2 linked regions of the Lepisosteus oculatus genome follow. The protein of the gene in region 1 purifies or fractionates together with the protein of each later gene. This does not show direct contact. Links are inferred from orthologs where the notes say so. Each region holds a gene or a part of one and is shown in the gene's direction. Other genes may lie near its edges.

Evidence for each region.
Region 2: the proteins of slc39a7 (region 1) and membrane protein FAM174 purify together in Homo sapiens (co-immunoprecipitation; 3 studies listed by BioGRID and IntAct, with this or other methods). This does not show direct contact. The link is inferred for Lepisosteus oculatus from reciprocal best matches to the Homo sapiens genes SLC39A7 and FAM174A.

What each region holds. Positions count from the first base shown.
Region 1 is NC_090709.1:39,102,235-39,117,299, reverse strand, and holds the start of slc39a7 (zinc transporter Slc39a7), read left to right. Parts: upstream 1-8,420; 5' UTR 8,421-8,598; intron 8,599-9,597; 5' UTR 9,598-9,606; coding exon 9,607-10,029; intron 10,030-10,146; coding exon 10,147-10,315; intron 10,316-11,162; coding exon 11,163-11,246; intron 11,247-11,349; coding exon 11,350-11,490; intron 11,491-12,121; coding exon 12,122-12,259; intron 12,260-13,155; coding exon 13,156-13,352; intron 13,353-14,430; coding exon 14,431-14,685; 3' UTR 14,686-15,065. Other genes in the region: E3 ubiquitin-protein ligase RNF5, read left to right, coding at 3,562-3,737, 4,187-4,205, 4,492-4,604, 4,875-4,929, 5,460-5,571, 6,228-6,349. UniProt on the Homo sapiens protein: Transports Zn(2+) from the endoplasmic reticulum (ER)/Golgi apparatus to the cytosol, playing an essential role in the regulation of cytosolic zinc levels.
Region 2 is NC_090698.1:55,260,756-55,276,511, forward strand, and holds the start of membrane protein FAM174, read left to right. Parts: upstream 1-7,976; 5' UTR 7,977-8,304; coding exon 8,305-8,669; intron 8,670-11,976; coding exon 11,977-12,108; intron 12,109-12,571; coding exon 12,572-12,584; 3' UTR 12,585-15,756.

The sequences.
Region 1 (15,065 bases):
TCCTCTCTCTCTTTCTCAATACAATTCTCTCTCTCTCTCTCCTCTCTCTCAATTCAATTCTCTCTCTCTCCCTCTCTCTCTCTCGCTTCACCGAGACACCGGGTCCTTGGTTACTGTTGCTATGCAGCTGCGGAGGCTGCGAGGCGCCGGGGGGGACGGGACCGGACCGGACATGGCCGGACCGGGCCGGAAGGTGCCGGTTGTGACTGAGACCGGCCGGGTCCGAAATGCGCACAACCGGCCTTTTTGTCACATTTCGGAAAAACAAACCCAACGGAATTGGTGGAGAGAGAGAGAGAAGGAGGGAGGGAGAGAAAATATCAAATGTATAATAACCCCCATACAATTAATAAACATCATCATCATCATCATCATCATCGTCATCGTCGTCGTCGTTGTTATTATTATTATTATTATTATTGTTGTTGTTGTTGTTGTTGTTGTTACAAGGCTATCGGGTCGCACTGAGCAGCTTGTTCAGAATCAGCCCGGTGGTCAGACACCCTGTTACTGAAAACAACCGCCGCTGTTCATAGATACAGTATATAGACACACACACTCACACACTCTCACACAAACACACTTACACACTCTCATTCTCTCACACACACTCTCACACCCACACACAACCTCACACTCTCACACAAACACACTTACACACTCTCATTCTCTCACACACACTCTCACACCCACACACAACCTCACACTTTCACACACACTCTCACACACACACTCACACCCACACACAACCTCACACTCTCACACAAACACTCTCACACACACTCTCACACCCACACACAACCTCACACTCTCACACAAACACACTTACACACTCTCACACTCTCACACACACTCTCACACCCACACACAATCTCACACTCTCACACACACTCTCACACCCACACACAACCTCACACTTTCACACACACTCTCACACACACACTCACACCCACACACAACCTCACACTCTCACACAAACACACTTACACACTCCCACACACACTCTCACACCCACACACAACCTCACACTCTCACACAAACACACTTACACACTCGCACACCCACACACAACCTCACACTCTCACACAAACACACTTACACACTCTCATTCTCTCACACACACTCTCACACCCACACACAATCTCACACTCTCACACAAACACACACTCTCTTTCACACTCTCACTCTCTCTCACACATTCTCTCACACACACACAGTCTCACACACACGTGTAGGGGTCGTCTCCAGGCCAGCGTGTCTGCGAGTGTCTTCCTCGCTCATCCAGTGGGAATCCGCCCTACATCCCGGCCGCTTCAAATTCCTCCCACAAAAAGGGACCTCGTGCAGGAAGGGCGCCACAAGAGAACATTTCTGTTTCTTCAGCTGTTGCCGAGCGGGAGTCCACACGTACACGTCTCCGCTCTGTTCCCGTCCCGCTGAGTCAGCGGGAGTCAGCGGGACGGGAACAGAGCGGAGACGTGTACGTGTGGACTCTTTGAATGCGCGTCTCCCGGGGGGGTCGCACGGACGCCTGGTCGGGGGGGGGGGTGAATCTGACTCGCAGGACACGCGTGTGCCGGACAGCGATGGACACCGACGTATCGAGCGAGGAAATAGGCACGTATAATCGGGCGCGGAGCTGGAAACAGGGTCCGACCAGAGCGAGTCCGGCCCAGCCCAGCCCGGCCCAGGCCCGGGGGATTCTGGACGGGTGGAGCGGGACCTCGGCGGCGCACACCGGCGCGCTGGTCCCGGGTCCAACCCCCGGGGGCGCTGTCTGTGTGGAGCCTGCATGTTCTCCCCGCGCTCGCGTGGGATTGCTCCCGCGGTCCGGTCGCTTCTCTGAAGAAATGACCCTGGTGTGTGTGTGTGTGTGTTCAGTGACGGACTTGTGTCCCGTCCAGGGTGTTGTCCTGCCTTGCGCCCGTTGCCCGCTGGGATAGGCTCCAGCACCTGGCCAAAGCGACGGACCCGAGAGGGGGGAGAGGCCAAAAGCCTGCTGGGAAATGTAGTTTTGTCACCTGGGCCTGTCGGGGCGAAGCGACCGTGCTCGCGGCCTCCGTTCTCGCCATTACTTACCCAGCTGTCCAGCGGCAGAGCTGCAGAGTGACGGACATCCGCGGCGTCCAATCGCCGGGGCAGGTCGGGCGATACCGCCCCTCCCCCACCCCGGCGCCCCGCCCACCTGCCCCCCGTTTGAGGCGGCGAGGCCGAATTGAGTGGCGTGACGTCTACCCAATCGCCTTTAGAAAGAGAGGCGGTTCTCCGGCAGCTCGTCCAATCATGTCCCAGCGAAAGGGGCTCAGGTTTGAGTGGCGGCAGGATTGTCCAATGAACATCCAGATCCGATGTCGGAGGGAAGGATGCTCGCTGGTGGGCTACCGTACACTGTTAAAACCTCGTTTCCACATTTCAGCGCAAAGAAAGATCGTCTTAGCTCCGTCTACTTAACACTTCTTTCCAAAGACGCTGGAAAACCGAGTCACTTCATACACGCTAGAGCAGTGTCGTCTCGTCCTGTATAGAAGAAAAGTTGCACACAAATGTCGGGATGAACGTCTGTTTAATTAAATTCATGATACAGACACATTATTCATGAATATGGATTTAATTTAAATAGACAGATAGCTCCAATCACGTGTAGGAGTTTGATACACTTTGATGAACTGGGGTCTTTTGTTTCTGACAAACCTGACAACGTTTCTCCTTCTCTCACGGCAAAAAAACACAGTACAGCGCAGTACAGCCCAGTAGGATCAGGGTAAAAACACAGTACAGTGCAGTAAAGCCCAGCGAGATCAGGGTTAAAAGCACAGTACAGCGCAGTAAAGCCCAGTAAGAACAGGGTAAAAACACAGTACAGTGCAGTAAAGCACAGTAAGAACAGGGTAAAAACACAGTATAGTGCAGTACAGCCCAGTGAGATCACGGTAAAAACACAGTACAGTGCAATACAGCCCAGTGAGATCAGGGTAAAAACACAGTACAGTGCAGTAAAGCACAGTTAGAACGGGGTAAAAACACAGTACAGTGCAGTACAGTCCAGTGAGAGCAGGGTAAAAACACAGTACAGTGCAGTACAGCCCAGTGAGAGCAGGGTAAAAACACAGTACAGCGCAGTACAGCCCAGTGAGATCAGGGTAAAAACACAGTACAGCGCAGTACAGCCCAGTGAGCTCAGGGTAAAAACACAGTACAGTGCAGTAAAGCACAGTAAGAACGGGGTAAAAACACAGTACAGTGCAGTACAGTCCAGTGAGAGCAGGGTAAAAACAGTACAGCGCAGTACAGCCCAGTGAGAGCAGGGTAAAAACACAGTACAGCGCAGTACAGCCCAGTGAGAGCAGGGTTAAAGCACAGCACAAGTGTGGGGAACCTGAATATGATAAAAACAGAGCGCAGGATAAACGCATTTCTGAAAGAATCGCGACCCATTCATGCTCGACGCCAAGCCGGGAGGCGCCTCTACTCGGTGAATTACGGGCCCGGCGTGTCACCGGCGGAAACCGGAAGAGACCGGAGGCGAGCGAGCGAGCGAGCGAGCCAGGCAGGTAAACAAACATGGCGGCGGAGCCCAGGCGCACGGCGGACAGCGGTCCGGCCGAGGACGGCGACCGGGGCGGGACGGGAGGCGGGCTGGGCCGGGACACGGAGCGCGACCGGGCCACCTTCGAGTGTAACATCTGCCTGGACACGGCCAGGGACGCGGTGATCAGCCTGTGCGGACATCTGTTCTGGTGCGAGCTGGGGTCGGGGCTCAGAGGCAGCGACACTGTCTGTGTGTGTGTGTACACAGAGGGGGGTGGGGGTGGGGAACAGGCTGCCAAGCCCTGTGGTTGAAGCCGATACCCTGGCTTCTCTCCAGACACAGCTGGGTGAGCTCCTCCAGTCAGGACAGGAGGCTCTTCTGTACACAGAGGGGGGTGGGGGTGGGGAACAGGCTGCCCAGCCCTGTGGTTGAAGCCGATACCCTGGCTTCTCTCCAGACACAGCTGGGTGAGCTCCTCCAGTCAGGACAGGAGGCTCTTCTGTACACAGAGGGGGGTGGGGGAGTGGAACAGCTGGATGAATTCCTCTGATCAATTAGCTACTGACCCACCAAACGGGTCTAATGTGCATAGTGACTTCTTGTTTGTAACCTTTCTGAAATTAAATGCAAATCTCTTTGCTTTCTTTCATGAAACAGCTGGCCATGTCTACACCAAGTAAGTGTTTTTTTAATTTCTTCCTTGGTGTATGTTTAATGTAACTTTCAGTCAGTTTGTCTCTCTCCCAGTACAGTGTTCATGTACTGGAGTGTCCAGTCAGTGTGTCTGTATGAACCCCTCTCTCTCTCAGTGCAGTGTTCATGTCCTGGAGTGTCCAGTCAGTGTGTGTGTGTGAACCCCTCTCTCTCAGGTCAGTGTTCATGTCCTGGAGTGTCCAGTCAGTCTCTCTCTCTCTCAGGTCAGTGTTCATGTCCTGGAGTGTATTAACCCCTCTCTCTCTCAGTGGTTGGAGACCCGCCCCAGCAGACAGCAGTGTCCAGTGTGTAAGGCCGGGATCAGCCGGGAGAACGTTATTCCTCTGTATGGAAGAGGGAGCTCAAGTCAGGATGACCCACGGTACTGTCCTGTCCTGTCCGTTGTGTGTCCACTGTGCGCCAGTGTCTGTCTGAGTGAAGTGGGGCAGGTTTTTAGTGCTCATAGACTCCAGCTGCACAGCAGTCCCTTCCTTTCCAGGTTTTACATCTGACCCGTTGTCTAGTGGTAACAGTCGGACCACAGAGCACTGCGAAACCCGGTCTTCTGAAAGACTCAGGAGGTTTCCTGTTTTCCAGTTGTTGGTATCTTTGCTCAGCTTCATGAATTAACTCTTTCTTGGTGTTTTTATAGATTGAAAACTCCTCCTCGACCTCAGGGACAGAGACCAGAGCCGGAGAGCAGAGGGGTGAGTCACTGAGTCAGGGTGTCTGTATGAACCCCTCTCTCTCTCAGTGCAGTGTTCATGTACTGGAGTGTCCAGTCAGTGTGTCTGTATGAACCCCTCTCTCTCTCAGTGCAGTGTTCATGTACTGGAGTGTCCAGTCAGGGTGTGTGTATGAACCCCTCTCTCTCTCAGTGCAGTGTTCATGTACTGGAGTGTCCAGTCAGTGTGTGTGTATGAACCCCTCTCTCTCTCAGTGCAGTGTTCATGTACTGGAGTGTCCAGTCAGTGTGTCTGTATGAACCCCTCTCTCTCTCAGTGCAGTGTTCATGTACTGGAGTGTCCAGTCAGTGTGTCTGTATGAACCCCTCTCTCTCTCAGTGCAGTGTTCATGTACTGGAGTGTCCAGTCAGTGTGTCTGTATGAACCCCTCTCTCTCTCTCAGTGCAGTGTTCATGTACTGGAGTGTCCAGTCAGTGTGTCTGTATGAACCCCTCTCTCTCTCAGTGCAGTGTTCATGTACTGGAGTGTATGAACCCCTCTCTCTCTCTCAGCCCTTCCAGGGTTTCGGTGACACTGGGTTCCACATGTCCTTCGGTATTGGTGCGTTTCCCTTTGGTTTCTTCACTACAGTCTTCAACACCAATGACCCGTTTCACCGCGCAGGTACAGTGTGTCTCTACAGGAGTGTGTGTGTGTCTATACAGTGTGTCCAGTAAGAGTCTACAGGAGTGTGTGTGTGTCTATACAGTGTGTCCAATAAGAGTCTGTACAGGAGTGTGTGTGTGTGTCTATACAGTGTGTCCAGTAAGAGTCTGTACAGGAGTGTGTGTGTCTATACAGTGTGTCCAGTAAGAGTCTACAGGAGTGTGTGTGTGTCTATACAGTGTGTCCAATAAGAGTCTGTACAGGAGTGTGTGTGTGTGTCTATACAGTGTGTCCAATAAGAGTCTGTACAGGAGTGTGTGTGTGTGTCTATACAGTGTGTCCAGTAAGAGTCTGTACAGGAGTGTGTGTGTCTATACAGTGTGTCCAGTAAGAGTCTACAGGAGTGTGTGTGTGTCTATACAGTGTGTCCAATAAGAGTCTACAGGAGTGTGTGTGTCTCTACAGTGTGTCCAGTAAGAGTCTGTACAGGAGTGTGTGTGTGTGTCTCTACAGGAGTGTGTGTGTCTGTACAGGAGTGTGTGTGTGTGTCTCTACAGGAGTGTGTGTGTCTGTACAGGAGTGTGTGTGTGTTGTGCTCTCAGTATCATGAGGTTATATAGCGACTCTCCAGCTGGAATCTGTTCTGATTTGGGGGTTCTCTTCCTCGCCCCCAGATACTCCCCACCCAGGCGGCGGTTACCCGGACAACGGTAACCCCGGCAACGGCAACAGCTGGCAGGACTCCCTGTTCCTCTTCGTCGCCATCTTCTTCTTCTTCTGGCTGCTGAGCATCTGAGGGCGGGGGGCCGGGGGGGCCGGGGGGGCGGGCGAGGTGTCGTCCTGCGGGGGGGCGCCCCCCCCTCCCCTGGCGTGTCTCGACCCCTGACCCCTCTTGTATTAACACGCCCGCCGCGCGCGGTGACGCGCTTGTGCGTGTGGGCTCTGCGTCCGCGCCGCTCCAGAACCGGAACTCGGTCTCGGTACCGCCCCCCCCCCCGGCCTGTCCCAGAATCCCCCTCCCCCTCGATGCGGGGGGCCGGGGTGCTGGGGGGCCTTCTCTTATTTCCTGTGCTTGTTTGTTTGTTGTCAATCGAAATAGTTTTAACCCTTCGGGTCTCTTCGGGGTCGGGGGTCGGGGGTCGGGGGTCAGCCTGGCTCTTATCTTCATTGACTCGTATCTTAAGGACTTCATCGTCTGTCTTAACTAACCCCCCCCCCTCTGCTCGCGGGGCTTTTGGGGCGTCCCCTCACACCCCTGGGGCGATGTTCCTGCGGGCACGGGGCAGATGGTCTCGTCCCGCGCCCCCAGAATCTCAGCGTTCGGTCTCTGGTCACACTCGACCAGGAGGATCAGACTGTGGAGCCTCTCACACACACACACACACACACACACAAACACTCCTCTCACACACAAACACTCCTCTCATACATACACACACACACACAAACACTCCTCACACACACAAACACTCCTCTCACACACACACAAACTCTCCTCTCACACACACACAAACACTCCTCACACACACAAACACTCCTCTCTCTCACACACAAACACTCCTCTCTCTCACACACAAACACTCCTCTCTCTCACACACACACACACTCCTCACACACACACACACTCCTCTCACACACACACAAACACTCCTCTCTCTCTCACACACAAACACACACACCTCTCTCTCTCACACACACACACACACACACCTCTCTCTCACACACACACACACACACACAAACACTCCTCTCACACACAAACACTCCTCTCATACATACACACACACACACAAACACTCCTCACACACACAAACACTCCTCTCACACACACACAAACTCTCCTCTCACACACACACAAACACTCCTCACACACACAAACACTCCTCTCTCTCACACACAAACACTCCTCTCTCTCACACACAAACACTCCTCTCTCTCACACACACACACACTCCTCACACACACACACACTCCTCTCACACACACACAAACACTCCTCTCTCTCTCACACACAAACACACACACCTCTCTCTCTCACACACACACACACACACACACTCTCTCTCACACACACACACACACACACACACACACACACTCCTCACACAGACACAAACACTCCTCACACACACACACTCCTCACACACACATGTGCACGAGCAAAGTATTAAATATGATGGAGGTGATTTGTCAATATTATCTGTATATTTGTAATAAATGTTATTCTATTCATAGCTGATGTCTCAGTCTTATTCAAGGAATCCAGATTAATCCCAGTGAAAGACTAATCCAGCTCCCAGTCCAGCCTGGAGAGTCTCAGTCTCAGAGTGTCAGTGGAGTCTGATTATAATCCCAGTAAAGAACTAATCCAGCTCCCAGTCCAGCCTGGAGAGTCTCAGACTGCTCTGTCAGTGTCAGTGGAGTCTGATTATAATCCCAGTGAAGAACTAGTCCAGCTCCCAGTCCAGTCAGTTACAGGTGGGGGATTAGGGGTAATTACGTCACTTATCGACTACACTGCTCCGTCCGTGCCCTGATTTTCACCTCATGCTGTCGCTCTGAGGCAGCCCGTTGGCGGTGTCCAGCTCAGCTCAGCTCAGCTCAGCTGGCCTGGACCCACAAACGCGCCCGGAACCAAAGCGCCGGCGGTCGCCGCGCCAGCCCGGAACCGGAGCCTTGACGTACCGCTCCCTCCTCCCCCACCAGCCAGCCAGCCGCTGCCGACAGCCCCGTGTCCCGCCCCCCTTTGTCTCCGCCCCCCGCATCCGGCATCCGGCATCCGGCATCCGGGCCAGGGGCGTCTCGCGAGATCTCCGCCGCCTTTGCCCGGCTGTCAAGGGGGGGGGAGGGAAATCTCGCGAGAGTCTGTGTTGGCTGCTGTGCCACGTCTGTGCCGAGACAGAGAGAGAGACAGACACGGCGAGCCGGAGTACCGCGCATCAGAAACCCGGCTACACGCACAGGGGCGGCCTGCTTCTCCGGACCGGTGAGCGAGCTGTCGCAGACACACACACGTCCGGGCTCAGGGTGACCCTCGCCGGGGAGGTGCGCTCATTTATCACACACAGACACACACACGCACCCGTGCTGATGCGAGAGTTTGTCTCTGTGTCTGTCTGTGCGTGTGCGTGGATGCAGACACCCAGGAGTTCATGTTCCTGCGGCGCGGGCGCCTCTCCCCGGCTCGGAGCGGGTTTATCCGTGTGGAGAGTCCGGCAGGGCCCCGGGCCGGGGGACACCCGCTGGCCAGCGCAGGTCCATCAGAGGTGTTGCTATCAGTAGGACTTGGGATGGTGCTGGTGTGCTTGTGATCTTACAGGGGTGCAGGGGTCGAGGGGTGTCTCCCAGGTGGGGTTACTGGTGTACAGTGATTGCTGTGCGTCTCCCAGGTGGGGTTACTGGTGCAGACTGATCGCTGTGCGTCTCCCAGGTGGGGTTACTGGTGCACAGTGATCGCTGTGCGTCTCCCAGGTGGGGTTACTGGTGGAGACTGATCGCTGTATGTCTCCCAGGTGGGGTTACTGGTGCACAATGATCGCAGTGTGTCTCCCAGGTGGGGTTACTGGTGCACAATGATTGCAGTGTCTCTCCCAGGTGGGGTTACTGGTGCACAATGATCGCAGTGTGTCTCCCAGGTGGGGTTACTGGTGCACAATGGTCTCTGTGCCTCTCCCAGGTGGGGTTACTGGTGCATCTCCCACGTGGGGTTACTGGTGCACAAAGGTATCTGTGCGTTTCCCAGGTGGGGTTACTGGTGCTCAATGGTATCTGTGTGTCTCCCAGGTGGGGTTACTGGTGCAGACTGATCGCTGTGCGTCTCCCAGGTGGGGTTACTGGTGCAGACTGATCGCTGTGCGTCTCCCAGGTGGGGTTACTGGTGCACAATGGTATCTGAGCGTCTCCCAGGTGGGGTTACTGGTGCAGGTCCCCTCCTGTGTGCAAAGAGCTCTGTGACCCGCAGGCCCAGGGTGCGAGCAGGCTGGGGTGGTTAGTTAGCGTTAATTACAGGTCCAGTCCTGTCTCTCTCTCTCTCTCTCCCCCCAGGTGTGAAGGATGACAATGGCAGGGAGAGGCGCAGTGCGCCTGTCTGTCCTCTGGGCGGCGCTGTTCGCCGCCGGCGCCCTCCTCCAGCCCGCGCTCTCCCACTCCCACTCCCACTCGCACGGGGGCGGCGGCTGCCACGGCCACTCGCACGGGGGGGGGAAGATGCACCACGGCGCCAGCAAGTGGAGCGCCGAGGCCAACCTGCCCTCGCACGGGGATTCGCACGCCCACTCGCACGGGGATTCGCACGCCCACTCGCACGGGGATTCGCACGCCCACTCGCACGGGGATTCGCACGCCCACTCGCACGGGGATTCGCACGCGCACGCTCACTCTGAGCCCCACGCGCACGGGGACGCGCTCGCCGACGGGAGTGCGAGACGGGAGAGAGGAGCAGGAGACGGCAGGAGCACGCTGGAGCTGTGGACTCAGGTACGGAGAGAGAGAGAGCGCGAGACCGACACCGCCGAGCTCTGGTCGGCTGAGAGGCGCCAACCCGGCCCGCCCTGTCCGGTTCTGACCCGGCCTGTCCCCTTCTGACCTGGCCAGGCTGTGGGCGCCACCCTGCTGATCAGCGCGGCTCCCTTCCTCATCCTCTTCCTGATACCGGTCCAGTCCAACACCGACCAGCACCAGAGCCTGCTGAAGGTCCTGCTGAGCTTCGCGTCCGGGGGGCTGCTGGGGGACGCCTTCCTGCACCTGATCCCACACGCGCTGGGTGAGCCTCCGGGTCTGTGTGAGGGTCTGGACTCCTCTCTCTGTGTGAGGAGTGTCTCTGGGGTCTGTGTGAGGGTCTGGACTCCTCTCTCTGTGTGAGGAGTGTCTCTGGGGTCTGTGTGAGGGTCTGGACTCCTCTCTCTGTGTGAGGATTGTCTCTGGGGTCTGTGTGAGGGTCTGGACTCCTCTCTCTGTGTGAGGAGTATCTCTGGGGTCTGTGTGAGGGTCTGGACTCCTCTCTCTGTGTGAGGAGTGTCTCTGGGGTCTGTGTGAGGGTCTGGACTCCTCTCTCTGTGTGTGAGGAGTGTCTCTGGGGTCTGTGTGAGGGTCTGGACTCCTCTCTCTGTGTGAGGAGTGTCTCTGGGGTCTGTGTGAGGGTCTGGACTCCTCTCTCTGTGTGAGGAGTGTCTCTGGGGTCTGTGTGAGGGTCTGGACTCCTCTCTCTGTGTGAGGAGTGTCTCTGGGGTCTGTGTGAGGGTCTGGACTCCTCTCTCTGTGTGAGGAGTGTCTCTGGGGTCTGTGTGAGGGTCTGGACTCCTCTCTCTGTGTGAGGAGTGCCTCTGGGGTCTGTGTGAGGGTCTGGACTCCTCTCTCTGTGTGAGGAGTGTCTCTGGGGTCTGTGTGAGGGTCTGGACTCCTCTCTCTGTGTGAGGAGTGTCTCTGGGGTCTGTGTGAGGGTCTGGACTCCTCTCTCTGTGTGAGGAGTGTCTCTGGGGTCTGTGTGAGGGTCTGGACTCCTCTCTCTGTGTGAGGAGTGTCTCTGGGGTCTGTGTGAGGGTCTGGACTCCTCTCTCTGCGTGAGGAGTGTCTCAGGGCTCTGTGTGAGGGTCTGGACTCCTCTCTTTCAGAGCCTCACTCGCACCACGGTGAGGAGGGACACAGCCACTCCCAGGGCCAGGAGGAGTCAGGTGACCATGGACACTCCCACTCGGGTATGATTGACGGGCGGGCGGGGGGGGGTGTTTCCTGGAAGCGGGTGCAGACTGGGGGATCAGCAGTGTCTCAGGCGGCGCTGTCCCCTCCCTCCCCCTGCAGGTGGCGCTCACGGCCACATGATGTCGGTGGGGCTGTGGGTGCTGGCCGGCATCGTGGCCTTCCTGGTGGTGGAGAAGTTTGTGCGCCTGCTGAAGGGGGGGCACGCCCACGCCCACTCCCACTCCCACTCTCACACCCACGGTAGGTACAGGTCACTGTCCCCTCTCTCTCCCGGTCCCTCTCTCTCTCCCGGTCCCTCTCTCTCTCCCGGTCCCTCTCTCTCACTGTCCTCTCTCCCGGTCCCTCTCTCTCCCGGTCCCTCTCTCTCTCTCCCGGTCCCTCTCTCTCACTGTCCTCTCTCCCAGTCCCTCTCTCTCTCCCGGTCCCTCTCTCTCACTGTCCTCTCTCCCAGTCCCTCTCTCTCTCCCGGTCCCCTCTCTCTCTCCCGGTCCCCTCTCTCTCTCCCGGTCCCCTCTCTCTCTCCCGGTCCCCTCTCTCTCTCCCGGTCCCTCTCTCTCCCGGTCCCCCTCTCTCTCCTGTCCCCTCTCTCTCACTGTCCCCTCTCCCCCTCTCTCTCCTGTCCCCTCTCTCTCACTGTCCTCTCTCCCGGTCCCTCTCTCTCTCTCTCCCGGTCCCTCTCTCTCACTGTCCCCTCTCCCGGTCCCTCTCTCTCACTGTCCCCTCTCCCCCTCTCTCTCTCTCACTGTCCCCTCTCCCCCTCTCTCTCCTGTCCCGGTCCCCCTCTCTCTCCTGTCCCCTCTCTCTCACTGTCCCCTCTCCCCCTCTCTCTCTCTCCCGGTCCCTCTCTCTCACTGTCCCTCTCTCCCCCCAGGAGCCCCGGAGAAGCCGGAGAAGCCGGAGAAGCCGGAGGAGAAGGGGGGGAGGGTTGAGCAGGAGGGGGTGAGGCAGAGGAAGACCGACAGCCAGGCCCAGGAGCAGAGGAAGGAGCAGGAGGTGGAGAGACAGACAGGTACTTGAGGGACAGTCTGTGGAAGCTGGTCTCGCGGTGTGTTCATGGGCTTCTGTCTCTCTGTACAGATAATGGGGTTTCGGGGTGTCTGAGCCCGTCTCTCTGCCTGTACAGATGTCAAGGTTTCGGGGTGTCTGAGCCTGTCTCTCTGCCTGTACAGATGTCAAGGTTTCGGGGTGTCTGAGCCTGTCTCTCTCCCTGTACAGATGTCAAGGTTTCGGGGTGTCTGAGCCTGTCTCTCTCCCTGTACAGATGTCAAGGTTTCGGGGTGTCTGAGCCTGTCTCTCTCCCTGTACAGATATCAAGGTTTAGGGGTGTCTGAGCCTGTCTCTCTCCCTGTACAGATGTCAAGGTTTCGGGGTGTCTGAGCCTGTCTCTCTGCCTGTACAGATGTCAAGGTTTCGGGGTGTCTGAGCCTGTCTCTCTCCCTGTACAGATGTCAAGGTTTTGGGGTGTCTGAGCCTGTCTCTCTCCCTGTACAGATATCAAGGTTTCGGGGTGTCTGAGCCTGTCTCTCTCCCTGTACAGATGTCAAGGTTTCGGGGTGTCTGAGCCTGTCTCTCTCCCTGTACAGATATCAAGGTTTAGGGGCGTCTGAGCCTGTCTCTCTGCCTGTACAGACGTCAAGGTTTCGGGGCGTCTGAGCCTGTCTCTCTCCCTGTACAGACGTCAAGGTTTCGGGGTGTCTGAGCCTGTCTCTCTGCCTGTACAGACGTCAAGGTTTCGGGGCGTCTGAGCCTGTCTCTCTCCCTGTACAGATGTCAAGGTTTCGGGGCGTCTGAGCCTGTCTCTCTCCCTGTACAGATGTCAAGGTTTCGGGGCGTCTGAGCCTGTCTCTCTGCCTGTACAGATATCAAGGTTTCGGGGCGTCTGAGCCTGTCTCTCTGCCTGTACAGATATCAAGGTTTCGGGGTACCTGAACCTGGCGGCCGACTTCACCCACAACTTCACGGACGGGCTGGCCATCGGGGCGTCCTTCCTGATCAGCCCCGCGGTGGGGGTTGTCACCACGGTGACCATCCTGCTGCACGAGGTCCCACACGAGATCGGAGACTTCGCCATCCTGGTCCAGTCGGGCTGCACCAAGAGGAAGGTACTGTCCACTGTCCCCCTGTCCACTGTCCCCCTGTCCACTGTCCACTCTCTCTCTCGCCATCCTGGTCCAGTCGGGCTGCACCAAGAGGAAGGTACTGTCCCCCTGTCCACTGTCCACTCTCTCTCTCGCCATCCTCGTCCAGTCGGGCTGCACCAAGAGGAAGGTACTGTCCCCCTGTCCACTGTCCACTCTCTCTCTCGCCATCCTCGTCCAGTCGGGCTGCACCAAGAGGAAGGTACTGTCCGCTGTCCACTCTCTCTCTCGCCATCCTGGTCCAGTCGGGCTGCACCAAGAGGAAGGTACTGTCCACTGTCCCCCTGTCCACTGTCCCCCTGTCCACTGTCCACTGTCCACTGTCCCCCTGTCCACTCTCTCTCTCGCCATCCTGGCCCAGTCGGGCTGCACCAAGAGGAAGGTACTGTCCACTGTCCCCCTGTCCACTGTCCACTGTCCGCTGTCCACTGTCTCTCTCGCCATCCTGGTCCAGTCGGGCTGCACCAAGAGGAAGGTACTGTCCGCTGTCCCCCTGTCCACTGTCCACCGTCTCTCTCTCGCCATCCTGGTCCAGTCGGGCTGCACCAAGAGGAAGGTACTGTCCGCTGTCCCCCTGTCCACTGTCCACTCTCTCTCTCGCCATCCTGGTCCAGTCGGGCTGCACCAAGAGGAAGGTACTGTCCACTGTCCCCCTGTCCACTGTCCCCCTGTCCGCTGTCCCCTGTCTCTCTCTCGCCATCCTGGTCCAGTCGGGCTGCACCAAGAGGAAGGTACTGTCCGCTGTCCCCCTGTCCACTGTCCACTCTCTCTCTCGCCATCCTGGTCCAGTCGGGCTGCACCAAGAGGAAGGTACTGTCCGCTGTCCCCCTGTCCACTGTCCACTGTCCACTCTCTCTCTCGCCATCCTGGTCCAGTCGGGCTGCACCAAGAGGAAGGTACTGTCCCCTGTCCCCTGTCCCCCGTCTCTCTCTTGCCATCCTGGTCCAGTCGGGCTGCACCAAGAGGAAGGTACTGTCCGCTGTCCACTCTGTCTCTCTGTCTCCCCTCCGCTGACCGCCGTGCCCTCTCCCCCTGTGTCCAGGCCATGCTGCTGCAGCTGCTGACCGCCCTGGGGGCGCTGGCGGGGACCGCCTGCTCGCTGCTGGCCGAGGGCGCGGGCGCCACGGCGACCGCCTGGGTCCTGCCCTTCACCGCGGGGGGCTTCGTGTACATCGCCACGGTGACCGTGCTGCCCGAGCTGCTGCTGGGCCAGGCCGGCCCGGCCCAGTCCCTGCTGGAGGTGCTGGCGCTGCTGTTCGGGGTGGGCATGATGGTCCTGATCGCCGAGTACGAGTGAGGGGGGGGGGTACCGCGGCCCACCCGCGGGAGCGCTGAGCACAGACTGACCGGAGGGGGAGGAGGAGGATTATTTTTGTTACTTCTTTAGTTGTCGTTTCTGAGGTCACGGTCTGTCTGTCTTCTGGGGGGCTCAGTGCCGGGGGGGTGCCAGTGTTCCAGTGTTTGGGGTCAGAGGTCACAGTGTCATGACTGCAGACACACACACTGACCCCTCCAGGACCAGGACTGGACACACACACTGACTGACTATTCCAGGACCAGGACTGGACACACACACTGACTGACCCCCCCAGGACCAGGACTGGACACACACTGACTGACCCCCCCAGGACCAGGACTGGACACACACACTGACTGACCCCTCCAGGACCAGGACTG
Region 2 (15,756 bases), on another chromosome or scaffold:
TTATTTGATGTAGATGTCCTAGCTTTTTTCTATTTTCTTCTTCTTGGTCTCTAATGCCCCTCTTAGCCTGTAGTTGCAATTAATTATACTCCTTACATTTAACCGGATCCCATTCTTCATTAAATGCTGTCGTTTACTGTATAAAGTATACTGCTTTTTTCCCTTATATTTTTCTTAATTTATTTATTTAACCATTTGAGCCAGTGCTTTCCTGACTTTGATGTCCATGTGGGATGAATCTTGTTTTGTATTTCAAGAAAAATGTTTTTTAAGACTTTGAAATCCATTTTTTGCTGATTCCAAAACTATTTGGAAAACTGTTTGGAGATTGGGAGGAGAGGCGGGAAAAGTCAAGAAAGCCCAAAAGCTAGACCTGGTATTGAAGTGAACTTCTTTGAATGGTTTCAGACTCACAGTGTTTATTAACATAGCCCCACAATTTTCTCTGTACTGATTCTGTATGAATAATATTGTTCAGACATTGGGAAACTATACCCTGTACACCTGTACAGGCTGATACCACACTGGACCAGCCTCCAGGCTGAAAATTCCAGCTACAATCCCAGCCTCCATGCTGAAGATAAACTGTGCTGCTACCACATCAGCTACCCTAACACAATGCAGGCTGTTTATTTTTTCAAATACAGCTACTTAGCTGCAGATCTCAGCCACATGGCTGATTCCCAAGCCTGCAGGACGAAGACCAGCTGTGATGCCACTGCTCTAGCCTCTCTATCATAGTACAAGCTGTTGATACAAAAATAGATCTACCAAGCTGAAGGCTCTATTTTTGTATCAGCTGCCTCATAAGCCTCTGGACTGAAATGACTATGCAGGCTGCTGGCTCAGCGACAGATCCACATGGCTTAAGACTACAGTCTCTTGGCTACCTACAGGCATCAGACTGAAGACATGTGCCTATGATGCTGGCTAAGCCAGGACAGGACATTGACTACTCCTGTTGCTGTGTCAAATACAAGCCAGATTGCACACTGTTCTAGCAATAAAGAACAGTTTGACTTAAGGACTGGTGTGTGGGGTGCGTCTTTGTAGAACTTTTGCCCCATGTGGGAGCTTCCCCATGTGGCATCACAATATATTGTAAAATTTAAAAACAAATGGTAAAAACAATTACAGTTTTTGCTGCAAGTAAAAGAAAGATAAGTAAATCACAGTTTATATATTTGAATATATTATTATCCTATAATTTCGGATGTAGCACTTTCATGAAACCTCCCAGGTGCAACTACCAAATCTGGGTACTTTAATTCATTTCAATTTGCTCCTGCCAATGACTGGAACAATCTGCAGAATTAAACATAAAATATCTTCTGTCATGTCTAAGGGTATTCTGTGCTTAGATCCTGTTATGGTGTTTACTTTTTATTGATTGTTCTTTTCTTTCTACTCTGCTTTGCCTTTTGTGCAACAATGTTGTAAGACTCAGTCTGGTTCCCATTGTAAATGAAAAATTGTTCTCAAGTGACTTGGCTGTTTAAATAAAAGACTATTATTATCAAGCCAGATTTGCAGGCTGCAGGAAATTTTGCAGAACTAAAAAGGACAGATCCCTCTTTATAAGTTCTTTTTGGCAGAGCAGCAAGGAGCTGTAAGCCAGTGTCTGTAAAGACCTAAACAGTATAGTAGATAAAGTAGAAAACTATTTATTGTACAGTGGGTGCTAAAGAGATGATACTATGACTAGGGTGTACCGCACCAGTCAGGGATATGGGATGTGCAAAAACCTTACCAAAGATAGTGTTATACAGTCCCTGGATGTGACTGATCACTGCAAAACTGTCAATTGACAACTGAAATATGACTTTCTGGCAGGTCTCCATTACAACACTATCTGTCATAGACATTCAGTTCCAGTGAGTTACTATGGATATACAGTACAGTAGCAGAACCTGTAGAGTGAAGCAGCGGAGGCAAACACTTTATTATTGTTTTCAGTGACTGTGTAACCAGATTTCCAGAAGCCTTTACTTTGCACAGTGTCAAAGCCTAATGCATGCTCTTGGTTTATTTATCTCAAGGGCAAACATACAAATAGAAATGATCACAGACCACATGTACAAGTTACATTTAGTTCGCTGAAACATGTTTAGCATATTTTGGGTATTTACCATATGTACTTTTCACCATGCCATAACATCCATTATGGCTGATGGGCTGGGGGAGCATTTCAATCAGACGCCAAGAACATGTGTGGATATTTTATTATCGGCAGAGACTTTCAGTTGCCATATCTGTGTTTCAAAGTGTCTCAAACCTCTACAGGATTCACTCGTGTTGAGTTACATTATCCCACCAGGGTGGGAAAGCCAAGAGAAGCCTTTTGACGTCTTCTTCCAATTTGCTTCTTATATTTTTTTTCATATCTTTAGATGTAAGCAAGGGTGACTTGTCCATAATTCACTGATTCTGTTTTCTCTACTTTTTTATGACTGGATAAAATAATTACAATTTTCTAATCAGGACACACAATTAACTGCAATAGAAGTCAATTGATTTATCTTACCAAGAGGGCTATACTGTAAATAAGGTGTGTTATTCCTTCAGGTCAATAAAAACCATCTGGTTTTATTTGTTTGTTTGAACCTTTCTTCAACCTGCAGCACTTTATTAATTTACTCCTTTTTGAACACCTGAGTAAATGAATCATTGAAATCCTTTACGTTTTCTATGCTTGTCTTTTATATTAAAACCATTTGTATCTCTATGACACCACTTCTTTCCTTTTCAGTCTTTTGCTGTTGTAATAATGTAAAAAGCTCTTGGACTTAGTTTTGCCTCAAAATCTGTAATCTTGTGTAGTAGTCCACTTTTCTGCATCTTGGTCCCTATAAAACATTTTTCTTGTTTTACAGTATATTTTTCTTTCGTAATCTATTGAACCATTTACACCAACAGTTCTGGGCCATGATTTGTCATATCACCCTACAACTCACAATGGGCTACCTACTGAACTTAAGCAGGTGTGAGCCTGGTCAGCACCTGGAGGGGAGACCTCCTGGGAAAAACTAAGGTTGCTGCTGGAAGAGATGTTAGTGAGGCCAGCAGGGGGTGCTGTGGTCTATGTTGGTCCCTAATGCCCCAGTAGAGTGATGTGATTAATTATATTAATTTTATCGATGGCTCTACAACTGAATTTTAAACCTTTAGCTGTGTATACCTTTCTGATTCCCTATACAGTATATTCTCAAATCCCTCTGTTTCTCTAGTATCATAAACCTTTCCTTAAATTGCCTTTGTTGAACGTTGAAACATACTTTGAAAATGATCATGTTGTGTTTATTCCAATGCTTCTCTTACTTTTACCTTTTTTACTCTATTTTGGTTATTTGAAAAGATCAGATCAATGCAGGCTCTAATCATTCACCATAGCAACATAATTTGTGCCCCAGTTGATTTATCCCTCACTAACCTATGGTATGCTAAAGTCTGTCTTATGGTTGACATAAAGAAATACATCTACAGTATGTGTTCCTAGCACCCCACTCTCACAAAGCAACAGGTATATCATGTTTAAAGCCTATCCTCCCTTAGTACACTTTTGTGAATGACAACATGTAACGGTATATTCATGCATCTCATTAAAGTCTAAGTACTGCAGAGTCCTTATCAGTTTCATTCTCATGGGTTGTACAGATGTGACAAGTTAAGAATATTATAAAACACATGTAGAATTTTCTAAATATGGAATTGTAATTTGTAAATATATTGTAACGCTTACGGCCGACAGGTACTGTGTAAGAGCCGGCTTACCAGAGCAGGTGACGTCACCGCCCTTCCCAGTAACAGCAGGACCACAGCCCCTGGGCTGTAGAGAGATCTCTCTTTGGCTCACTGGGCTGGTTCCCTGTTGAGTGACGCGGGAGTCCAGGGTTTGCTAATGCGGCAAGGGTGCCCGCCTGAACTCCCGTTGCGTTACAATATGTAATTTCACAGGCAAAAACATACTGTACAATGATTATATCACAAAAAATCTTTCTTTGTGATAATGTGATAATAGTTTGAGGAAGCCAACTAAAATGTATTTTGCCTCGCACATAAGTATCCAAAAAACATAACTAAAGCGTCTTCTTTGTTGGCAAATAGAATCTCTTTAGGCTTCATCTCCATCTAAACAAACGTGTTCTACTTTTGTGAAAATGGTGAGCCATGTCTTCATGTCTTCAGTAAATTCATAATATTTAAGTATGTAATAGATCTGCAATATTTATTTAAAGGCATTTGCTTGATGGTGAACCAGAATTATAACCATAGAAAGCATTTTAAATGCAGGATGCCCTTGTACTACTGCCACATGTGTGTTAGGTTGATAGTAACTTCAACAGGTGATAATCCCACAGTATATTTACAGTATATCTGATATGATGTCAAATGCATGGTGTCCTCTAAAGTCTCTCACTTGCTGGAATGTGCAGTTTGTATAAACAGATAAAACCATTCCATTAAAATTGGAATAGAGAAATATTATATGTACTTTTAATTTATATTAATCCAATTGGTAATGTTAATAGTATCAGATATCAATATTATTTGTGCCCCATCCTGTTTACTGTATATGAAGTAAACTTCATTTTCAAGAATAAAAAATCCAACAAATATTTTCAAGAATAAAAAATCCAGCAGAAACCAATCCAATTAAATATTCTACAGAACTCAGTACTGACAGTTTATATCTTTAGGATATTTTAGGCAAATTAACGCTGTTCCAAAAGGCAAGACGCCTTGGTTGCATAGAAACCTACTGTACTACTATAGTGCTACTGTAGCAATTGTTATTACTTTATTGCCTGAATTTTTAATGAAAAAAACTGTTTTCCACATAAACTGGGATATAGTGTTCAGATGCACGAGACTTGGCTAGTAAGACTTGGCTGCTACTAGTTAGGTTCGCAGGATCATTGTTTTAGATCCAACCACCACAGTTAAATGTATGACTATATTTCTTAACCAGGTTAATTCATAATTATAAATATCACTGTGATGCTGATCTATAATAAAACCAGCAGGCAGCAGTACTATACACAGAGCCACTGTACCTCCCAGTTGAAAACTTGAACACATAAATTTGCCATGAGGTAAATATGTCAGGTTCATCCGTTCAGTTTTACAGAGGGTTATATTTGCCTAACAGGGGGATTGGGGATACTGCATTTTCTGTAGCACTGCTGTCTCACAGCCGTGGGAACAAGAGATCACTTTCTGGCTAAGCGGCTCTATCTGTGTAAGGTCTGCCTGTTGTCCTCATGTCTGCATTGGTTTCCTGCCACATGCCAGAAGCATTCTGATTAGGGTAATTGGCCACACTAATTGGACAGCGTGATGTCATGTGTCGGACAGGGCAAAATTAACATAATCAAATCCCTTAGTAGGGAGGCATGATGGTTTGCAATGCTGCCTTGCAGTGTTAGAGCCCTGACAATATAGTTAAAAAATAGTACTTTGTTTTATAAAGAAAATAATTCATTGAAAAATAAACGATTCACTTACTTTTGGTGAGGATAAAAAAATAACCCCTAGATCAGGAAAGCTGGACTACACTAAAAAATATCTCAAAATATCCTGTTAACATAGTAGAAAACAAATAATTTACTTGTATCAAAAACACATTTGTTTTTCTCAAAGTTAGAAAAGTAATGCCTTGTTATTTTTCTTCCTCGAAGCAATTCCAGACTTGCCTTCTTGACAATATAAAAATGTAAACAACCTCAGAGTACCAAGTCTTTCTCTTATTTGTATATGTTTACGTCTCCTTCCCTAAATTAGAAAAATAAACTACAGGAGCTTGTTAAGCCTGTTTTATCTTCCTGCTTCTCCTTTCTCTTTCAGTTTCTCCCATGGAGTGATAAGTCTCTTACTTAACTCTTTACATTTTCCTTTGCCCTTCTTTTTATTGTGTTTCCTGTGCTTCACTATAGTTTAGATAATACAAAGTCCTTTCTTCCAACACACTCTCTTTATGTCATTTTCCAAATTGCATACTCACTGAAATCCATCAAATGTAAATTGTGTACAGTGGTGCATAATGAACCACTCTCTCGCTGTCATCCCTGTCATCATCATAGTCCTGTAATGTGTGCACACCTGTATAAATAGCTTGTTCCCCTTCTGATACCCTTGTGGCATTCTTTGTCACAACATGTCTGTTCTGGCATCTCAATGTGGTCAAAAGTCTCAGTGAAATCTATGACACTCTACCCAAAGTACCTCCCATTCAATACAGTGCCCCTAGTGGTATCACTGGTGCTGTCTGTGTGGAGTTTGTTTGTTCTTCTATTGTTCATGTGTTTCCTCCAGGTGCTCCAGTTTCTTCCCACAGTCCAAAGAGATACTGGTAGGTTAACTGGCTTCTGGGAAAATTAACCCTGATGTGAGTACAGTATGTGCGTGTTTGTTTCCTGCGTTTGTACCCTATGATGGATTTGTATCTCATTCAGGGTCTATCCCGCCTCGCACTCATTGCGTGGCTCTGGCTTCCATCGTGACGTGACCCTGTACTAGATAACGCGGCTTAGAAAACGGATGGATAGAAATCCCTTAGTATGATAAAGAGTACTAATTTCACCCCGTGGCAAAATAAAAATATGCTTATGCAATATGGAAATACAGGGACAGAAAGCAGCCTTATTGTTGTCCGCTCAATTACAGTTGCACCTCATACAGTACATACACACATACACAACATAGTTGTACCTGAACCTGAATATTTAGTCTTTTGACTTTTCTCTGTATCGTGGTGGCATCAAATACAACCATAAATGACAGTTCTTTTCCTTTCACAAAATTCAAAATGCCGTTGTGCAAAATGTGTGGCAGGACAATTTTGTGGTCATACTGTACATAGCTCTTGACTTTCCCCTGGATGTCAGAGGAGGCTATACAATATTTGACCAACCCGGCTCCTGCGGCCTGGATGAAATTAAGCAACAGGCCACATAGGTTTCCCACCACAGCATAAAGGAACAGACAGACAAGATGCTCTGTTTTATATGTTGGATCCTAGGTTTTAAACTTTAGATAGTGGACAAGTGAGGTTTTGATAGTATACAGATGAGAGCACAAGACTTTATTTAATACAAAAGATGCATTGTTTTTTTTTTGCTTCCTAAAAAAAGTAAAGAAGTGAATCTTTGTGTATAACTACAAATGCTTATCCTATAAACAATTTTTTTCAGGTATCCATTTTAACTGCCTTCAAAAAGGCACCAGACGTGGGGACCTTTAGCAGACCTTTCCAGGCAGAACTATGTGAGACAACCAGAATCAGTGAAGCAAACAATGAGAAAGAAGAAAGAAAAACATAGTTAAACAGATGGACAAGAAGTCTTAGCCTCAACAGTTGTATTGATTTTTTTTCAGTATCATTTAATTAGAAAGAGAAGCATTATTTCGCTAAATTGCTCTGGGTCAATGTAATACATTAGAAACTCATTTCATGAGGCACTGTGATGTTGTTTTTTATATTCTGGCATATTTCCATCTGCCTCTAGATTATTGTTATTCGTTGTTTAATTCCTTGATTGATTGGGAAAATTACACATTTAGATAATAGCAGGCTCCTGTTTTTCCTGACCTTCACCAGGAGATTCTGATGACGGGTAGGCAGATAAAACTTTTCTTAACTTTACACATATATTCACGTATTGCATTCTGTTTTTTAAACTTGATTTTGTGTTCTTTCTTTGGCTGTTTTACTATTAATCACGCTAACTGCCTACTACTGGAAAATAAGGTGGCACATACAGATGCCACATGCAGTACACATCTCACATCTTTAACATTTCTTGTTGTTGAAGCATTGTAGACTAAATTATGTGCAGTACTTTTAGAATATCTATTTAAAGATATTTTAATAATAAAGAATGTTTACAGTACTTCAATTGTCATTGTCAAAGACTAATCATTTTAGGTCAAAGACCAAAAAAAAAACATTTGCAGGATATTTTTCTTTCGTTTGTACAGTATGCTTGGGTCTTGTGACTTTGTGAGAGCTCTACCTAATTGCATTACTAAACAGACGTTGCTGCTTAATTTAAAAAGACTCATTGCAATGCTTCTGTGACCAAACACGTTTTACAGGTACATCCGGGTGTCTTCTCCTCAGTTTCTGAAGCCCATCAATAGCAGCTCCCGCAGGCACGCAGGGAAGATGATGTCACACTGCGTAGCGACGGTAGGAAGTCAACGCATAAACAATATGAGGGAAATAAGAGGGAGTTGATTCTGCTCTGTGTGTTATAACAATACGTCAGTGCTGACAGAAAAAAAAAAAGAAAATTATTTTAGGACATGGGTCCTGAAAAGACACGGGTCTTTAGGGCTAGTTTGTTTGTATGCATCTTACTGCCTGTACTTTTGCCTCCTGTTGCCACAGTTGGCCCGTACAAAGCTCCGTCTACAAAGATCCAGGTGGGCATCAGCCAAAACACCGGCAATGCCAGCAGCGGTAATACCAAAATGAATACGCACACAGGCTCCGTTGGAGTCAGGGAAGGCAAAAACAACAGTACGGGCGACTTCCAGAGCACCAGCCGGACTGTGGCAGCGGAGCTGGCCGCGAATGACAGCAGACCGATGTCCATTCAGAGGGCACTGTATGTGCTTGTGGCTGTCAGCGCTCTTGTCATCGTTTATTTCGTCATCAGGACTGTCAAGTAAGGACTGCATCATAGTTTTCCGATTGCCTAAGCTACTTTTCTGTTTTCTTAGATGCTTTTGTAATGCGACATCCTCTTTAAAAGCGGCGACAGAGTTGCGATGAGGTTTTTGCTTTTGTTTTGTTTTCACAAATCCTTCGCAGTTTTATATCGCTGTTGTCTTTTGCAACATCGTAACATTTTGGATTTAATTATTTTTGTTTGGTACTGGTTCAGAACACTCATCTGAACATGGGTTGGTTGAACCAGTTACGGGCATTTTGTGGACACGGTTTTTTTCTTCTTCTTCATTAAATTAGGGGCTTTGAGAGTAAAATTTAAAACCGAACGATCTGAAACATATATTTTTCAGTAATGAGGCTGGTGCCGATTTATACCTTATTATACTAAACTTACAAACAAAACTGCAGTTTGAACTTTAAAGAACTGCCTAAAGAGGAAAAAATATCTGTAACCTGTGTTGTGTGACTCCTGTCCTCTTAGAAACTATTGCCTTGATCTGGATTGAATTAATGGAAAGGTTTCAGGCGAGAAAAAGACTAATCAGTGTTGATTCATTTATCTGAAATAAATTGAAATTGATCTGCTTGCCCACAAAAATAAGCATTTTTATTTATATTTATCTGCTTTAAGCTATGTATTATTCCTCTGTTGTATTTAGGACTGTGTCCTAACCACAGTAACAGTATTCATAAAACAGCGTTCAACTGCAAGACAGACTTGTGAAACACAGAAATGCAAATACATTCAATACCCTTTATAATGCTGTATTAATCAACATGTAACAATACATCTCCCATACATTTTGAAATGTATTGACTACCCCTATGTGCTAAGGAATTTCACATTATAAGTTCTGGCCATCTTTTAGTATCCAGTTAAAGTAATGCTACAGTACAAGTACAAATAAAAGATATCTTGTATATACTGTACATACTGTACTGTATGCAAAATTAGGTGCATCTTCTATTGTCTGTAACATTATGTATGATTAAGTCAAGTGTGGTTTCAAAGTGGTAGACTAAACTACAATGCCATTTAAATCAAGTTGAAATCACATATTTATTTTTCCACATGGTCACTTTTAATACATTTTTACTGCTTTTTAATTCACTAAATAGGGAAGACAAAAGAAGTTCTAAGATGACTTTCCAAAAAGTGAAAATGATATACAGTGCCAAGAAAAGCTTTATGAACTCTCTAGGTTGGTCCATATTTTTGTATATTTTACAACTGCAAAGTAATTAAATCCTCATGTCCTCTTGGAAGTCTCAATAAATTATAAAGCAAACTTCGTTAAACATGGAATGCAAAGATATATTTGTATTATTTAATTAAAATAACCCATTGTGGGAATACATTAGGTTAATTAAGATTAGATTCATGTCAATAAATTAGATTCAGTTTCTGGCAGCACCTCCTGAGCAGCGATGACTTCAGTTAGACATTTTCTGTAAATGTTTATCAGTCTCTTACTGCTTCAAGTCCCTGATATTTCAGGGTTTCCTTGCGTGAACAGCTCGCTTCAGGTCATGGTACAACGTTTAAATGGCCAATTCGAATGCAAAATTTCTTCTTTAGCCATTCTGTTGGAGACCTGCTTGTATGTTTAGGATTGTTGTCTTGTTGTATGACCTCTTTTCAGATCAGCTTCAGGTGATGAATGGATGGCCGGGCATTCTCCCCCAGAATTTGCCAATACAGTGCTGAATTAATGGTTTCATCAAAGATGAGGGACATCAATTGTGTTGCAAGGAAGCATTTGGTTTTCACAACACAAAACATTTCTAATTGTAGTAAAAAAATTCAATTTTTGATATGACGGTCCAGACAACATTCTTATAGCAGTATTGTGGATCAACCAGGTGCACTTCAGCAAACTTGACATGGCTGACATGTTATTGTAGAGAGCAATGCTTTTTTCCCCATGACATCCATATCCTTCCAGTTTTATTTCTGATGGTTTAGGCAGACAGACACTTACAGATCCTTAGATGTTTCTCTGGGGTTCTTTGTGAATTCCTCGATGATTTACAGGATTGTTGTTGGCAGGACAACCTGCCAGGTCCTGGGATAGAGTCACTGTGGTTTCAGATATTTTCCATTTCCCGAATGGATTAATGGAGCCCCAGAAGTTTAGAAATGTTTTAATGAATTCTCTCCAGATTGATGAGCATTAACCGCTCTTTTCCTGAAGTCCTCTGAAATTTATTTTTGATTGTGTCGTGATGCGTTTCCTTTATCCTGTATGGTGTAAACCACACTCTCAAAGTTTCTGATTATTTTTAGACATTTTAAGACAGGAGTGCCCAAACTCGCTTCTTTTATTTATTCATACCAATGCTATTTACTTGTGCTCAGTAAACTAGGGTTCACTTATTATTTCACATACACTGATTAAGTTTTCATTTTTTTCTGCTTCATGTATTTTTGCATCTAAAAAAATATCGGATTGGTAAAATCTTTTTAGGTTATTTAAAATCCATTTCAATGGTAAAATGGTAAGAAATTGTAATTCTCCATTGGTTTTACACAAACCAATTCATGGCACAATATTACAATTCATTCAATTGATTGTAGGACATCAGTTTGCACAATAAAAAATGAACTCCCAAAACACAGACACCTCTACTTAGGAAGCAAATAGGAAAGTCTTTAAATTTAATTTTCATTACGTGAAAACTGTCCCAACTGATTAATGTACTCTGGAGTGGGCACTTTGCCCACAGTTTGCCCAAAGGAAAAATTAAACCTATTTTGATATTAATGACTAGAACTTGAGGCTTTATTTTTTCTGTTATTCTTTTCTTTTTGTTTTATCCCTAAGCCTTTTTTATTTTGTCAGAAAAATGTATTAGTGTTAGAAGAATGAAAAATGTTAGTACTATAATTTCTACAGATGTACACTTTAACAGGGTTTTGATACCTCCGTATTGTACTTGAAATTCATATTGAAATTTGCTACTGGTTACTTTTATGAACATGCTAAAGTAGATTTCTCGGCTGAGGTCTTATACAGTATGTGCTCTTCAAATACTGCTACTGTGGCAGGTTAAGATAATTTTGCTCTCTTGCCTTGCAGTCAGAAGACTTTTTTTTAAAGGATTAGTAGCACATTTTGGAATTCTGTCAAGCAATACGTTCTGTAAGCGTGTTCCACTGCTAGGATGTGGCATGTAAGTGTGGAGCACTGTGAACATATTGTAAAAATGAAGCCATGAGGTTATCATAGTTAACATCAAAACCACCATGTGTTTGAAGTTTGCGTGTATTTTGTACTGAAGATCTTTTCTTCTTAATTCAGAATGAAAAAGAACCGTAAAACAAGGAGGTATGGAGTCTTGGACACAAATCTTGCCATGGAAATGACACCATTGGAGCAGGACGAGGATGAAGACGATGATACCACATTGTTTGATGCTCGTATTTCAAGGAGGTAAGCATGATTAGGATCGGTCTGTGTCTTACTGATTACACCTTGTAAGGTCATTGAAATACCTTTCTAACAGCCTTTGTATGATATAGTCTCATAATTTTGAAAAATGTATTTCTAAAAAAAGAAATATAACTTTTAATAAAGCATCCTGTATTCATGGAAGTTTTTTTTGTTAAGCTGTTTAGTGCTTCTTGTAACTCAAGACTGATTTTTGTGATGCTGCTAACTCAGTATAATTGTGTACCTTTTTATAAGTAATGGCTGATTTATAACATATTAAGAAGAGCGAAGTCTGGAGTATTGGCTATGATTCCTACCAAGTTAGAATAATGCTTTGAGTAAAGAGTCTACTGTGACTCATTATGATTTTACTAAATATGATATGCCCCTATGGTTATATTTCAGAGCACACTTGCTAAGCACTGTACATTAAGAGAAACAACTGTGCTTTCTTTTGTTCTAGAGCTGTAAAATGATACTTGGTATGTAAATCAGGGCTGTCCAAACCTGCTCCTGGAGGGCTGGCGTTTCCATGATTTTTATTTCAAATCAGCTTTTAATGAGCTAAACCAGATGGTTTCTGGCTTAACTGAACTCATTTAACAGCATCTCCAAGCTATTCAGATCCTGCAACTTTCGAGTGACCTTGAAAATCTGCAGACACTTTGGCCCCCCCAAGACAAGAACTGGACACCTCTGGTGTAAATACTTCATCTTCCAGTTATGAAAGAGGCTCTTGTCAGTCACACATTGAATGCAGTGCCTATAAGTGGGTTTTTTTTGTTTGTTTTCATAAAAACTCTCACAATGCGCTTCTAAGACTGTGACAGTGTGTGTCTGTGGAAATTGATTTCTGTTTATTTAGTTGATGTTTACAGAAAGGGAAGTCTGGCTGTAGGTATGTCCTAGCAAGTAGCAAGAGTATGATTTTCCTACCCTAAATCCTGTAAGTACTAAAAGGGACTGACCCAGTCCAATGGCAGTAGCCAAGTGTATGTGATAGGTAGGAATATACAGTATAGTATACTGGCCAGTTCTATAGCTGTATCTGTCCCTGGCCAGACTACACACTGAAGTGATCTTTCATACAATACACACATGATATTATTTTGATCATTTTTTGTTAAACTGCTTTAATTTCTACAGGGACATTATTTAAAAATGTAAGAATTATTATAAAACCAAATGGCACCAAGGGGAGTATCAAACCTCTAATAATGTCAATCAAAATTTGATTCATATATCTTAATTTGATTTTTGATTTTTGATATATGATTGATTCATATACAGTATACATATTGATTCATCGAAATATAAGCTACTGAGCCTCCCTTCCAGGGGAGAGTGATGTTCCCTGTTTGTCTGGTGTCCCTGGTTGGATAGGCTCTGGCTTTGTAGGAACCCTAACTAAAATGATTTAAATGAATGCATTTTGCTTTGCGCTGTTATGAAAATGAGGCCCTAAATATGCATACAATGTTATACAGAAATACCCAAACTTAGCAATGTTACTGATTTCAGCAATGTAGGATCATATGTAATATAACTTATATAACTTAAACATAATTTTTTTTTTAAATTTAAATGACACTACTCACCACCTGTGACTCTTAAATACATTCGTATATCTTCATGACCAGGGCTCCCCTTTCTTCCTTTTTTGAGGTTTTATTTGTGCAACAGGTGACCAGATTATTCTTAATTGTTACATCTACTGTACTTTATCCATATGGGATTACATCTTTTTAGTGCCTTTTAACTAATAGTAGAACCTTGTTCTTGTTCCCTTTTTTTATGTAGTAAATGTTTTAGTCTGAGATGTCTTTACACTGTCCAATTGTTAGCCTTTAAAACCAAGGTGCGGGCAACATGAGTTTCAGAATGTCAAATGTATTGTATTGTAAAAATACAATTTGATAAAAATTGAACAAGCTGTGACCTCATTACAAGAAATACACCCTATATAACACCTGCAATGTAATTGTCAGTAGCTCAGGATGAACAGGATGCATCCTAGCCTTTGTCACAATTGTATGGGTCATGAAATTTGTGGAAACCCAGGAAAAATCAAATGTGTTTTTCAGACCTGAAGGTCAGAATATTTTCACAGATTCAAGTTCTGGCCATGTAAAGTCAGGGAACCTTAAATGTAGGCAGGCATACTACGTAATGGTCAAACAGTAAGGTTCTTGCAGACTATTAATTCACACTTCTCAAAAAGAGGTTTCTATCTGTAAATCTGTTATTTCCCAGTCACAGAATATTTCGACTTTGAATAAGGTCAGTCTATCAAGCTTCATTGGTTTTCAGTTTATTGCTGCTGTTAACAGTCACCTGTTAACAATGCATGTCATTGGTTGATTAGTAAAACTGAAATGTGACAGTGAAGTTGAACGTTTTTAATTTATATCAGTACTACCTGTATATTGTATGCTATTATATTTAAAACTTAAACCTACAAAAAATGCTGGCTAAATAACCTTTGACGTTGCAGCAAATAGATCAAATTGATCAGATAAGATCACAAATTGTGTGTTGATTGAAAAAATAGGGCATTTTTTTGCAGTGGCAAGGGAACATTACAACTGAGCTGCTGTTTGAACTTCAAACATTGATCCGGTTTAAAAAGGTGGAATAAAGAAATAAAGCACAAATACAGTATGATCAAGTTTCTGAGTGACAAAGAACTGGTGATGATAACCAAACTCTTCTGGTGCTTGAAACTTCATTGTTCTTTTCAGTTCTACAAATTGCCAGAGTCTATGGGCAACTGTCAGTTCCATGATATGATAATTCATTTTATTTTAGTAAAGCATATTTCCATTTTTAAAAACATTAATTGTCATACTGTACAGATGTGTTTCCAGTCTTTATTAACTTTCACTGATTTTACATTTAGATATAAATCTATATGTGTGCTTTGCTCTATGTTATGCATATACTGTATATTCTAGAAAAAATAAAGTAAAGCCTGCAGATTTTGGGTAATGTATTATAAAGTCAATTTAAATTTGATTTTGCATGACTGATTTAAATGAAATTGACCTGGACTAAAACACTTCATTAGTGATTGAGCTGAACAGGCAAAGGTGATTTAACTTGAGCTTTTGAGCCTGGTGAAAAAAACGGTGCCTTTGTACATTAGGTATGTAAGAACAACATCTCAGGTAGACTAAACAGCAGTGAAGCCAAGTCCTCTTTAGCAGTGCACAAAGCATGTACTACAGATGTACAGCTTGCATTGCTTTCAAGGGTAAACACTACTAGTATGTGACTTTCACTGTTTCCTTTGGATGTTCTGATTATTAATATTAATCAGCATATACACTATGCCTATATCAAGCATGATTAATAAAATGTCAGTGTATCTTTTATATTACAAATATTCTATTCCTTGATAAATGTAAATTTGCAATTATAAACTTCTTTCTGTACTCAGCGTATATGCATAAAATGAGATTTTTAAATTATATGTAATGAATAAATGTTAAGACAAAGAGGACATCCTGTGACAATTTTGTAATTGTTTAAAATTCATCAGTTGTCCTCTTCAATCTGCCATTTTATATTGTAGGTTTTCAGTTTAGTTTTGCAGGAGAAACCTGGTTTGGAGAGCTGGTGAAATGTTCATTTAAAAATGTGACAATG